Linked DNA regions of Tribolium castaneum. The protein of the gene in region 2 interacts with the protein of the main gene of each other region in a pairwise test. Links are inferred from orthologs where the notes say so. Each region holds a gene or a part of one and is shown on either strand. Other genes may lie near its edges.

Region 1 (4,465 bases), on a different chromosome or scaffold from region 2:
GGAAGAAGGTACGTGCAATCTTTTTAAATCTATTTTTGTACTCTGTTATGTCTTTTTAGAAGGGTATTTGTTTAATATATGTGCAAACGTTAAATCTTTGATTGATTGTAAAGTAGAAAGGGCCTTTGAAATCGTGGATAACAATGCTCAACTTTTGGAAAAAGAAAAGTCTGAAATCGTAAGTATAAAAAATAATTTTACTTGTACGATAACTTTGTAAAAAAAATAGAATAAACTGGAAGAGGAACTTTCAAATTTAACTACCGAATTTGGTGCAAAGAAAAATAAACTCCGGGAAACAACAAAACGGTGCGAAACTTATAATCATAAGCTGCAAAATCTTAAGAGCCTAAAGTATGAAATTTAAATGACTCTTACGTTGGTCTCTAATGAATTTATTTCAGGCTCTCCTTATATTTGTATAAGTTATTAACTGCAACACAATTTGATTATACAAGACCTAACACAGGCTGTATCCTTTCTAAAAAAAAAACCAAGCCGTTCATTTTAACAACTTTATTCCTTATAAACTAACAGATATGGTACGGACGAACCCTCCAAACTATGAAGTCTTCAATTATGGTGAAATAGGCGAGGAACAAGTAGTACGAAAATTATGGGCATTAATGGAAAAAATGGCACATAAAAACGAATAAAAACTTAAATTTATTGCTTTTTCTTTATGGTAACCGTTTTAAATATTGTATATGAATGGAAAACACTCGCGCTTGTTGCAATTGTAAAACCAACAACGAATAAGGCTACAATTACCATAGCTAGTAGCATTCCTTGGATAAATATGTTGTAAGTTATGTAAAAAATTCCCTGTGACGCCAAAATTCCCGTGTAAGTGAGCAATAGCGCAACGGGCATTAGGGTGGCTGCTGTGACCACGGGGAGCAGGATAACGGCCAAAATCACCACCAAAGACATGGACAAAATCGGTCTTTGCACTGACCATTTTAGGAACATACTTCTAACATTCTTCACCAAATTTCGCACTTTATCTGATAAAATTACGATTAGTAACGCAATTATTGGCGTGTGGCCTCACCTGGTAAAATGGGCATTGTTGTTATTTTACGCCGAACTGTAGAGATTAAAATAATTACTTGAACATGTTGGAATTTGACATCGCTTTTTATCAGTTCCAGTATTTACAAGGCGTGGAATTTGTACCGTCTTCTGATATTCTTCCACTTTTTTAGAGTTTATTGTTCTTCATTTAAGACAAAAACGAGCGAGTTTTTTCTTTTTGGCAAAAAATTTGAGGTTATGTGGCAAAAATTTGAATTTTCGTAAACCATAATCAACTTTAATTAATTATTTACTTATCAGTTTTGAACTTAAGTACTGAGCGGAATTTTCCATTCCCTTTCGATTGATTGTATTCTAGTGCAGCATAATGTATTAATAATGTAAAAAAACTAATTTTGAGGTTAGATTGGACTTGTCAAAAGGAAAAATAAAAGCAATTTTTGATTCTCGTCTATTAACAATATAAAAGGCCCACTTACAGTCAACAATTAAACGTAGCACATGAAGCAATTATTGCTTTTTGAAGCTTTTCAGGATTGGATAAATATTATCAAAGGCTTCGTAAATCTCCTGCCTGATTTTGGCGCCAGTCAAGACAACTTTACCCGAGACAAAAATAAGTAGTACAATTCTGGGCTTAACCATTCTGTAAATTAAACCGGGGAATAACTCGGGTTCATACGAACTGAAGGAACTGTGCGTGAGGACAAGTCCTTCCAATCTGATCGGAAATTTAACGTCGCAACTTCCCACCATATTTTGAATCTTGAAGTCTAAAAATTTCGCGGGGAAGCCCAGCTTTTGGATAATTCTCGCATATTTCCTCGCTGCTAGTCTGGAGTCGTCCTCGCTTTTAGCCCCCGTGCAGACCATTTTTCCCGAAGAGAAAATAAGAGCAGTAGTTCGGGGCTCCCTGATTCTCATTATAACTGCAGCGAAACGTTTGGGGTTGTACTCAGCGTTACGTGCGTGAAGGGCGATTTTTTTCAAGTCTAACTTGCAGCTGAGGTTAACTGTGGAGACAATATTTCTGCAAAAAATATTCAAACTAATTTTACTAAAGTTTGGACTGTTACTGTAATTGGGGGACAATGTTGGGGTCGGCCGAATGCGGGGTCATCGGTGTCAGGGGCGACGGCGTCGCGGGGCCCATCGACGGGGTGTTCGCTGCACCACTTGAGCCCCCCAAATTCACCATAGGGGACATCATAGTGTGTTGCTAAAATTTTAATTAAACGTTCCAATTATTCAATAATTTAGTTACGTACTGGTGTTTGTGACTGGATACTCGTGATGGGGAGGGCGAAGCCCGCATATTTCGTATGGGGCATGGACATGCCCATGCCCAACCCCAGAGTTGGTGTTAGGGCTCCCATTGGGGCCAAAGGCGGGACTTGTTGGGACTGTGATGTTGTGGAAGGTTGCTGCTGCTGTTGTTGCTGCAGAGCATTGGGCAAAATCATCTGATCTTCCTCGGGCTGGTGCAAGGGGGTTCCTAAAGCCTCACTAAGGAAGTGTGAAGGAAAAATCGAGACTTACCTATGCTAGGAATGCTGAAACCGGGGCTTGGCAACATTTGATCCATTTTGGTACTTGTTGTCTTTACACTTTTTTAATTAACGAACTAATTAACTGAACAATAAAATCATAGTCAACATTTAGCATAAACGGTTATAATTTTTAAAAACTTGAACTCAGACCATACAAACACAAAATAACATTCCTTGATTGTTCTCTTTCAGAGTTTTCGTCACGAAAATACTGTTTTTCACTGGAAAAACGGATTTGGAAGCAAATTAATAAATTATTCTCCTAGCATAATTTTTGGGGACAAATCAACCAGAATGTTGGCAACGCCCGCCTTAACCTCACTCAAATTCGCATCATAAATTTAAAAATAACACTCACGGCTCACGCTCACAATGTCGCCTTTTAAAAATTTCGAGTCAGTGGAACAGTTTTTTCACACAAACAATTATTTTGGATTTAATTTATTCACCTCTCCCTGATTGTTTATTTAGTGTTGTAATGTTGGCAACGCATATTTAACCTGACTTTTTCTACATGTGTTTATTTTAAAATAAAAGATGGTAAAAAGTTCGCTTTGGTGTTTGCACAGCGTATAGAAATGTTTTTTAGGGTAAGGCGAAGAAGACGCGAAAAATCGCCCAGAAGCGGTTTGCAAAAATGAAAACAATGATCAGTCCCAGCGACCCTCGCATAAAAGCCAGCCAGAGGGCCCCTCCTCGCAAGAAAAAACCCGAAGATCCACACGAAATGAAAGTGCGTGAGGTGCCCCAAGTTAGTTCGGCGCTCTTTTTCCAATACAACACCCAACTGGGGCCTCCATATCACATTTTGGTTGATACGAACTTTATTAATTTTTCGATCAAGAACAAGTTGGATATTATTCAGAATATGATGGACTGCTTGTATGCTAAGTGTATTCCGTATATTACGGATTGTGTTTTGGGCGAATTAGAGAAATTAGGTCAGAAGTATAAAGTGGCGTTGAGGATAATAAAGGATCCGAGGTTTGAGAGGATTAAGTGCATGCATAAAGGGACGTACGCTGATGATTGCCTAGTCCAGAGGGTCACCCAACACAAGTGTTACATTGTTGCGACGAATGATAAGGATTTGAAACGCAGAATTCGGAAAATTCCGGGTGTTCCCATCATGTATGTTGCACAACATAGGTATACAATTGAACGCATGCCTGATGCTTACGGGGCTCCAAAAACATAATAAACTACGAATTTTTATTACTACGTTATGAATTATCCCAATTTTTTACAAGTTTCCCTTCATCTAACAACGACCAATTTGGAGATTGTCTTTCAACATTCAACCAGTTGAAATCATCAACACATTTCCAATTATTTGTGTTTCGATCCAACCCTGAATTTTTAAAATCAGACTCGAGATTATCATAGTCCCAGTTATACGGTGCTAGAAATATATCGTGACAATCTTCCATAATTGCTCTACTTGTTACATGCAAATAAATATCGACATCACTCGAAGAATGCAATCTTAACTGTTGACACGCTATCACAAGAGTGCAATTTGTGCAGTTTTCTGCAAAAATTGAGGTTGAAACGGGGCCTGTGAAAACGCGGCAATTTTTCAACTGGTTGAGGTGGAGAGTGGACGGCGAACCGAACAATTTAACGGTACAGTTTTCCAACTTTTCTACTGTTATGTCTTTCTTGAAAATCTCATTTTTCATAGTTAGAGTTTCTCCAGTTTTGTTCGCAAAACCGCATTCTTTTGCCACAATCGCGACTTTATGGAAATCCACTTCATCCTTTTCTTTTTTTGTTTCCACAGGTTTCACGTTTTGTTTGTTTTTAAACCCGAACTTTTTCTTGGGCAAAAGATTCTCCTCCAGTTGTTTTAATTTATTGGTAAGTTCTTGTAAAGA
Region 2 (4,577 bases):
TTTAATTCGTTCCTCAAACAGAAACACGTTTTGGAAAAAAATGGCGCTTGTGTACTCCACAAACAAAAAGATAGTTGTAAAAAAATATACTTTGAAATAAAAAAATTATTTAAACTAATTAAAAAAATTGTTACTACATGCTTTTTTTCATTATTTTCATTATAAGAATTTATAAAAAATTCATTTTACAAATATAACAAAAGTATAGGTATTAATAAATATTTTCTAATAAACGTAGTTTGCACGTTTTCTGACTTTCTTTAAAAACGAAAAAATTCTAGTCACTGTTAAAAACCAAAATTTATTGAAAATCGACATGTTCAAAAGTAAAATAAACAGATATGAGTTTTTTCCAGAAGATTTGGCTCGTTTTTAAACGAGTTATCATTAAAAATCACCGTATTTAAACAAAACAAGTGTCAGATAATGTTTTGATTCGTTTTTAGAAAAGCATTATTAAAAATCGATACATTATAATGAAAACGTAGTTTTCGGCAAAAATATGAAATATTTCGACAAGATTTTGTACATTTTTTGTGGAAAATAAAAAGAAACAATTTATTTCAACACAAAAAAATAAAATAAAGCGAGTTCTGGTAACTGCCCAATTTTTAAGCAAGAAATCGTTGAATACCATGTTTTTATGAACAAAAAATTAGTGTTTTTTATGGCAAAACAAAACGATTTGAGGCATTGCCATGCGATTTGGCTCGTTTTAAAGCTAGCAATCGTCAAAAATCTACAATTTTTAACTAAACAGCTGTCAAAATAAGGCAATTTTTGTTATTTCTGAGACATGGTCTCTTTTTAAGCATGAGATCTTTAAAAATCAGCGTAGGTATTTCCAGGTGCTTTAGCTCGTCTTTAAAGAAATTAAACGTTTATCCAAAAAAAAATTGATATTTATTCTTTGTTGTCAAGTGTTTAACAGATAATTGGCTTAAACAGCGTAATACAGTTAATGACAATTCTTCTGATGCAATATCTCGGTGCAAGTGGTTTTGAAGCTCATAGTCGCTAATGCATTTTGTATTGTTTTTACATATTTTGGCAAAATCTGTATTGGGTTTTGGATTAAAAATGCGATATAAGGTTAAAACTTTGTAAAAAAAATATTTTTTTTTTGCTAAATTCAGAAAAATAGCTCAGAATTCCTAATATGGGGTAAGGGTGGCTTTGGTATTACTAGAAATTGAAAGCCCATTCAATTAGGATTTTTTTCTGTTTCTTGTAAATTCCTTGTAAAATGTAGCGTTCTCGAGTAAAATAATAAAATGTAAAACGATGCAGACGATATCACAACACACAAGGCAGTGTTTAATAGTGTTTAGAAAAAATATCAATTTATTTTCAACAGTTAATTAATGGTTAAAATATTTGCACTTACTCAAGATACACCCTCTATTTAATCTTTGTTGTCATCAAGTGATTAAACAAGTGACTTTGAAATATTACAGAATGTTAATTAAAATAATATTTGTAGAATTTAGTTAGTTTTAAATATCATTACAAAATAAATTCTATAGAACCCTGTTGCTTTAATTTAGAACAGCGATGCCCAATTGTCCAAAATTTTTATTATTCGTTTTAAAACATTTCCCAATAAGTAGTTTTATTGGTATTATAAAGAATTCAATTTTCTAAACAGGATTCTAAACAGGATTTTGTATATAAAAACAATATACAAACCGACAAAATTTTAAATGCGTTGAAGAGCGCAATATCAATTGAAACAAACCTGATCTTCTTTTAGTTTAAAACCATAATTAAACCCCTCCCCTGTCTCCGGGACCTCCAACATATCGTACCAAATCTGGGCGGGGCCAAAGCGCCAATCGGCCACTTTAGGCCCCGTGTCATCCTTTGATTGGGTCTCAGCTTTGCTATCAACGGTCGCATTTTCCATTGGTTTCAGAAACTTCTCCTACAAGCAAAACATCACAAAACGAAACAAATCCACTGTAAACTACTTCATCATCGCTTTGAATTTGCTCAGGAGGCGGAGGCTCAGCATAATCAATAAACCAGCCCCGATGTTTCGGCTTCTCATCCTCAGAGTTCGAATCAGAATCGTGCTGATTCGCGCTATCTTTGTGCTTCCTTCTCTTGCGTTTCTTCCTCACATTTTTCCAAATATTGGGCAAACTGCTCGGTTTTCCTGGCCCAAAAAGCCGCGAAAATCGTAACACCTAAAAAAGTCGATCGAACGTGAAAATTTGGGCACAATTTCATACTTTTCCGTGCCGGAAATCCGGAAAAAGGTCCGTAACGTTAACGTTTGCGTATTTGGACGGCAGCATTGCCGCAAGAGGCGTTTCGAGCTTCTTTTTATCACCATCATCAGTCGTAACAATTGATTCGGAATTTTCTTTCGTTGTCGGAACTGGAGGTGGCGGCATTAATTTGTTATCAATTTCATTGGGGTGCTCATCATCAGCATCGTAATTTTCCGGTTTCGCCTGAAAATTATCAACTAAAAAACTGAAACAACACGGAACCACTTACCTCCTCCTCCTCTTCCTCAGCGAGTTCATTTATATCGGAAAAATCAACAGCACTGGGCGATTTTGACTCGACTGGAACAAAGTAAGGTTATGTTTGTTTACGTGACAAAAAACAGTCTCACAGTTAGAATCTTCATTATTTTGCGACTCCGCACTGTTGCTTTCTTTGTTTTCATCCCCAAATTTCGATTTTTGCCCCTCGGAATTATCATAATCGCTGTCGGAATCGTCTTTAGGGATGCTATCAACCCCAATCATTTCTTTAAGGGTTGAGCCCAAACCCAGCCTGGAATTATGTTTTTTACGCCCCGTATTACAACAGTATTACAATGAGTCTTACTTCCCGAGGTTGGAAAGTTGTTTTTGGGATTCAGTGTCCAAAACATCGCTTTCGAGTTGCCCTTGCTCGTTGATGTTCCCGAAGAGGAAACCGGTGAGGTCCACACAGTCCTCGTCTCTGTTAAAGTTCTCGTCGTCGCTATCACTCATTTTACATTTATTTTAAACAATTAAAACACAAAATAGATAAAAGTTGGTCCACCATATAAATAATCACAAATGGCGAAGTGAGTGCCCTCTAGCCGGTACAGATTCCTGTAACTACGAAGTTACCAAGAATGGTGCTGGCACCATGAACAAAATTACAGTCGACCAGACAATAACTGCGCGCATGGAGCTAGCAACATTTCCCCACCATTCTCGTTTTCTACAGCCAAGTTCACACCAGGAAAATTATCAAAATAATCGTAAATCATTATAAAAACATCAATAAGCTGTTACGCTGACTTGCATATCACATTTGTAGAACATCTCCTGACCATTCTAATGTGTTTCTATTACAAATTAAAACTTAACTGCATTTAATTTTTTCATTTCATAACCAATAATTCCTTTATTCCTTTCTTTTTCTAATATTTATTGTTTACCTCATCCTTATTTCCTTTTTTCCTGGCAAGAATGCTCTAAACCTCCACGTGATTCTTGCTAGACAAATTAATTATTAATTTGACAAATTAGAGCAATCTTTAAATATTAATTTTTTTAACGCAGTTTGCAAAATCGAGAAATTTTATAAAAATTAAAAAAATCTTTAAGGTCCCAAAGAGTGTTTATCCGAACATGATTTTTTTACAGTCAAAGGCCCTATCGAAGGGCTTAATCTCGTGCAAAAATAAAGATGATTGCAGGATATAAAAAGAGTAAAAAAAATCAGTTTGCATTGCTTGAATATGAGAATAAAAAATGCAAAAATTAAATGCAGTTAAGTTTTAATTTGTAATAGAAACACATTAGAATGGTGAGGAGATGTTCTACAAATGTGATATGCAAGTCAGCGTAACAGCTTATTGATGTTTTTATAATGATTTACGATCATTTTTATAATTTTCCTGGTGTGAACTTGGCTGTAGAAAACGAGAATGGTGCTAGCTCCAAGCGCGCAGCGATTGTCTGGTCGACTGTAATATTCATGGTGCTATATTCACCGATCTAAGTTAGTTCATGGGATAATTTCACTCAATAACTTTTTAAAAAATACTAATGAGCAAATAAGCATTTATGTAATCAAAATTGTAAATTAGTTTTTGCTGTTAAACAATTTTTTATCATAAAATCATAGTCAGAAAATTGTGAAAAATTCTAAATCTAAAAATCCGGTCCAAGTGAAATGACCGCCTGGACGACATTTCTCTATAAATGTGGCGATTTGTTTGGGATATCGTTGGTTTTAAGTGATTTTAAATGTGTTGTGGTTTTTCGTGTGTTTTATCGGTTTGTAGATTTTCATGTGTGTCCAAAAGTCTAATAAATAACAATATTCAAACTTCAGGAGCAATAGAATTCAGTAAACAGTAGTAAACATTAAGGTTAGAAAAACATAGCTTGTCACGGACTATAGCAAGCTGTGGGTGAAGTTACAGTCGATACATTTTTTGACAAAGTGATAGCACAATTTATCCAAAAGAAATGTTTAGGGAACAGCTTTTTGACACAGGGTGCAACAAACAACTTAATTAGAACCTTAGGGTCGGTTTACAGAAAACGAAATTAAATTTAATTCAAAATTAAACTAAT
Region 3 (4,374 bases), about 11 Mb from region 2:
AGTGAACAATCTGTGTAAGGTGGTTGGTTGTTGTTTTGTGAAGCTGTACAATGGAAATAGCCTCAAACATGAAATTTTGCAGTAGAATGGGGGGGTTTGTGGGGTCCGAAAGCGTTAGTCCTAGCTTGGATGAAAATTAATCCCAATACTGACATGACATCCTGATTCTGCGACTTTTATTTCCAAATAAGGAACGAATTATTTTCAAAATAATTCGTTCCTTATGAATGAAATAAAACATTTTTAATAAACAAATCAGTAACCATTCACTCATTAATTCAACGTCACTTTCTTTCGCATAGATAGCAATTTGCATTAAACACGCTGCCATCGTTTTTTATAACATTTTAAAAAAAATAAGAATTAAATAAAAAAAAATTACACGAGCATGAAAATTACATAACATAACGTGTATTTAATCACAAAGTAGGGATATCAACACCTTTCCCTATATGTGTGATGCTGTTTATGTCCCTGTGGAGAGATAATTATTATGAAATTTTCTAATTTTATAATCGTTCCACTTTTCAATAATTACTCCAACTCTTATTATTGCATCTTATATTTTATTTTAGGATGTTTGATAATTACTATCCGTTTACAATTCTGGAGTTAAAAATTCACTTGCGTGTACAAAATAGTGTTTCTAAGAAAAAAAGTCTTCTAATTGTTATCAAACAAAATATTGGTACATGAGGGTCACTGGAATGAATCCTCTGTTAAAATCTAAATTGCAACAAATAATTTCAGTTTTAACAAGGTCATCATTTTGTCTCATTTTTACATTAGTTTTGTTCAAAATTTCAATTGGGAGTGCATAATTTTTGAATAATTTTGTACAAAAAAATCTATGTTTACTGTATGAAAGACGCTAAATTCGCCATTAATGGTAATGTCACTATAACTGAGAAGAAATGTGTAAAAGTTTAGCCAACATTAAATACTTTTTATTACCTATTGAAACAGCATGTCTTTATGACTACACAGGGTGAAAGTACGAAAGAATTTCTTACTTTGCTGTAGCTGTCAAATCTACATCGCTTAAAAGAGTCTTGAGTTAAGTAAGAGCAAGTTACAATTTTGCAGGAACGTATTTAATTTTTTTTTTAAATCTAAAGTCATTTTTTTAACAATTCCTTAAATTGTATTCATTGCTAAGTAAAATTTTAAAAAACAGTGTCATTAATTCGGGGCCCTTACGTTGGTTTCCTGGGGGAAACTGGGCTTTATTTTCAAGAATCCAATACTGTACTGTTTTGAGTGTGTCTTAAGTTGTCTACCTACAACACAACGAAATTATTATGGTAGATAGTTTGTAAACTTGTTGGACGTTGTTTGTTTTGATGGTCACATGATAATAAACAGTACACCAAGTACTGGCTTGAAAACATAATTTGTCCTAGAATGAAAATTTGTTTAATTTTTTGTTTTTTTTTTAATGTACGCTCAGTAGATGTCGATAAGGGGTTATAGGTGTTAGCAAGCATCTTAAGACTGGGAGTTAGCAGACCCTCCCATTCGACTGTTGTTTTGAGTGTACACCGACTTACTGGAGCTCCTGGCCGGGCCCCGACAATCTGTGGTGCACTGAGCACGACACGTGCCGGTTGTCCTTTCTGCTGCTGAGCGGGAACGCCAGGCCGTACATTGACAACCTGGAGGTTGGAAAGGATGTTTGGGGACTGTGTACTGGGACTACCTACGTTGTTAGCTGGCGGGACCGAGGTGGTCACGTTCATGGGCACGGTGACGAGTCCGGGGGCCGAGGCGCCGCACGTCTTGATGACCAGCGTGGGCTGCTTGCCGGGGGCGGCCTGGGGCAGCGTCCCATTGGGCGGCAGCGCGACCCTCGCGTTGGGCAGCAGCGTCCCGGCGCCCGCCATGGCCTGCGAGTAGACGATCTTGACGGGGGCGGCGTCGGCCGACTTGGCGTCCGAGATGGAGTCGCCGTTGGCCACTGTCGAGTGCTTGGGGGGCCCGACGGTGCCGCCGTTGGATATTGCACTGTTCACGTGGTTCTGGGCCGCGGACGCGGGCGCCGTCGTCGACGACGTCACCAGCTGGTTCTCCAACGAGCCCACGATTGCACTCACGGCCGATTCGTCCACATCCGTACTCAGTGCTTCCTCGAGAAACTTAGCTGACGCCATTTTCCGAGACCCAACTGTAAACTGATGTGCGCATGCGCCCTACATAAACATGATCACGCCAACGGCTGCGCCGTCGACTCTTCACGCCACAAATGCAGAAAGGCATATGAAACAAAAGTCCGAATCGACGCACTTTTAACCACTTTACATGGCCCTCATCTTCGGCTGCTCCGAGTTGTTGCACGGTTTCGTCGGGGGCGGATTTCACGGCGACATCAGACACAGCTTTTCAGTTTCGTTTACATCGCGGAGTCGATCGCACTCTCGACGTTTTGCTAAGTCATCTGACACGTCATCCCGACCCGCCAAATTTGAATTTTCGCATTGCATTTCACATTTCCAAATCCACAAATTTACATTTCTTTAGAAAGTTTCTGCGCCAATTTACATTTAACAAGATGACATTTTGCGACGACCGCTGATAGCCCCGATTCCTTCCACGCAGCTCGCAGCTTACGTATTACGTCATGGGGACAACACTCATTTCTCATCTTAAATTCTCATTTTACCTCGAATTCTGGCACGAGGCACAACGCAACTTTCTTTACTTCATAGCTCATTTGCTGTTTTTTGTTGCTTGAGCAATATTTCTTAAGAGATTGTTTATTGCTAAATCTCATGACCTACAACAACCTTGCAACACCATACTGCTGTTTTATCATCACAAAACAAAACACTCTGGTCAGATTCCCGCTGTTTTTTTCAAATTTTGAACAAAATTACCAATAAAAAACTTATATTAATAATATAAGTATATTTTCTTATACGATAGGTATGGCCTATTTAATATTAAGAACAGATTTATTGATAAAAAATAGGTATTCGATTTATAAACACGTTCTACTCCTACTATAATTTCCATTTTGTTTGGTACTTTTTTTTTATCATCTCCCTTATCCTCCTTTTGCATCAAATCTTTTTAATTATAGGTGGTATTTAGAACTGTAACGCAAATTTTTAATAAAAATCTAGCACTTCTAGATAACAGCAGGTAATAGTACCCCTATCAATTTGATTTCAGGAGGCTTGTGTGGTTGATAATGTGTAGGCAAGGGGTTATTTAATCGATTCCGGTGTAAACTATAATGGCCTGCAATCAATAAATTAAACGTAGGTACAATTGAGTACAAAGCGGTTCATTCGGCAACTGTTGGAAGAAAAAAAAATTCACATATTACAAATAAAACAATAAAATTCTTAGGACTTAAACGATTTTATTTACAGGTACTAAAACATGACATCGGTAGTAAAAAATAAAAAAGCATACAGAACGTAAAAATTGATCAAAATTAACCACTTGAGGAGAGATGCCACTCTTCGGTATTAAAACTGACACATTATTTTAGCAATAGCCCTGTTATAATTTATAAAGCTTGCATAAATGTTACAACAGGTGGAACAGGTCATTTACCGTATCTAACATGTGTTGTTTGATTAATAACTTTTGTAGTGCTTCAAGGTATACAAAGAAACGGTCGATTTCCTATTCCCAAAGGCAACATATCCACTATTTGGCGAGAAATTGATCGCATTTACGTGTCCCAACTTGGTCTCGAACGTCGGGAAGTTGCTAAAAACAGTCCCAGACCCGACATGGAGCAATTTGACGGAATTCGGTATTTCGGCAGACGACAATGCCAAAATCTCCGATGTAGCGTTGAATTTCAAGTCGGTCACGCTCGTAGTCAAATTCATAATGGTCTTTATAGGTTTAGGTACTTTATTAATTAAAATATCCCCCACGTCGTACAAATTAACAACTCCTTGTGCAGAACCAGCCGCCAGAAATTGATTAGTGGGCGAAACCGCCAAAGTGGTGCCTTGCAGACAGCCCTCGTCCATAAACTTGTGCAAGACCCGTCTCATGCTCACGTCCCACACAGTGACTTCGCCACAGTCACTGTGCCCATAGAGAAGATTACCTTGGGGGCCGTAGGCCAGAGCCGTAACTTCATGGTTTTGCTTTATTGTTGCGACTCGTTCCTTTGAGGCTGCGCTAAGCAAGTGGATTTCGCCCCACTTGCCTGCAGCTGCGATTATGTCAAAATCGGGGAAAGTGATGAATTTTTTGAAGCTGGTCATGCCAGGGGGTAACGGGATTCTGGTGGTTTTGGCCGCCATTAGGTCGTAACTGAAGATGTGGTTCTGCCGTGACCCCAAAATCACCTCGTTACCGTTGTTGATAAACTTTGCACAAAAAATCGGGAAATGTTGGAATAAAACA

Evidence for each region.
Region 1: the proteins of Taf1 (region 2) and Tbp interact in binary tests that used the Drosophila melanogaster proteins (3 or more experiments, as listed by UniProt). The link is inferred for Tribolium castaneum from reciprocal best matches to the Drosophila melanogaster genes Taf1 and Tbp.
Region 3: the proteins of Taf1 (region 2) and Taf4 interact in binary tests that used the Drosophila melanogaster proteins (3 or more experiments, as listed by UniProt). The link is inferred for Tribolium castaneum from reciprocal best matches to the Drosophila melanogaster genes Taf1 and Taf4.

The regions. Positions count from the first base shown.
Region 1 is NC_087402.1:9,986,384-9,990,848, reverse strand, and holds Tbp (uncharacterized protein Tbp), read right to left. Parts: upstream 2,716-4,465; 5' UTR 2,624-2,715; coding exon 2,578-2,623; intron 2,534-2,577; coding exon 2,307-2,533; intron 2,258-2,306; coding exon 2,115-2,257; intron 2,069-2,114; coding exon 1,549-2,068; 3' UTR 1,055-1,548; intron 1,008-1,054; 3' UTR 502-1,007; downstream 1-501. Other genes in the region: Bka (rRNA-processing protein FCF1 homolog), read left to right, coding at 3,126-3,128, 3,178-3,786; Tbcc (tubulin-specific chaperone C), read right to left, coding at 3,812-4,465. UniProt on the Drosophila melanogaster protein: General transcription factor that functions at the core of the DNA-binding multiprotein factor TFIID.
Region 2 is NC_087394.1:24,745,094-24,749,670, forward strand, and holds the start of Taf1 (transcription initiation factor TFIID subunit 1), read right to left. Parts: upstream 3,096-4,577; 5' UTR 2,994-3,095; coding exon 2,845-2,993; intron 2,791-2,844; coding exon 2,627-2,790; intron 2,577-2,626; coding exon 2,506-2,576; intron 2,460-2,505; coding exon 2,235-2,459; intron 2,190-2,234; coding exon 1,971-2,189; intron 1,925-1,970; coding exon 1,739-1,924; intron 1-1,738. UniProt on the Drosophila melanogaster protein: TFIID is a multimeric protein complex that plays a central role in mediating promoter responses to various activators and repressors. Largest component and core scaffold of the complex.
Region 3 is NC_087394.1:35,639,841-35,644,214, forward strand, and holds the start of Taf4 (transcription initiation factor TFIID subunit 4), read right to left. Parts: upstream 2,802-4,374; 5' UTR 2,151-2,801; coding exon 1,551-2,150; intron 1-1,550. Other genes in the region: wcd (U3 small nucleolar RNA-associated protein 18 homolog), read right to left, coding at 3,585-4,374. UniProt on the Drosophila melanogaster protein: TFIID is a multimeric protein complex that plays a central role in mediating promoter responses to various activators and repressors.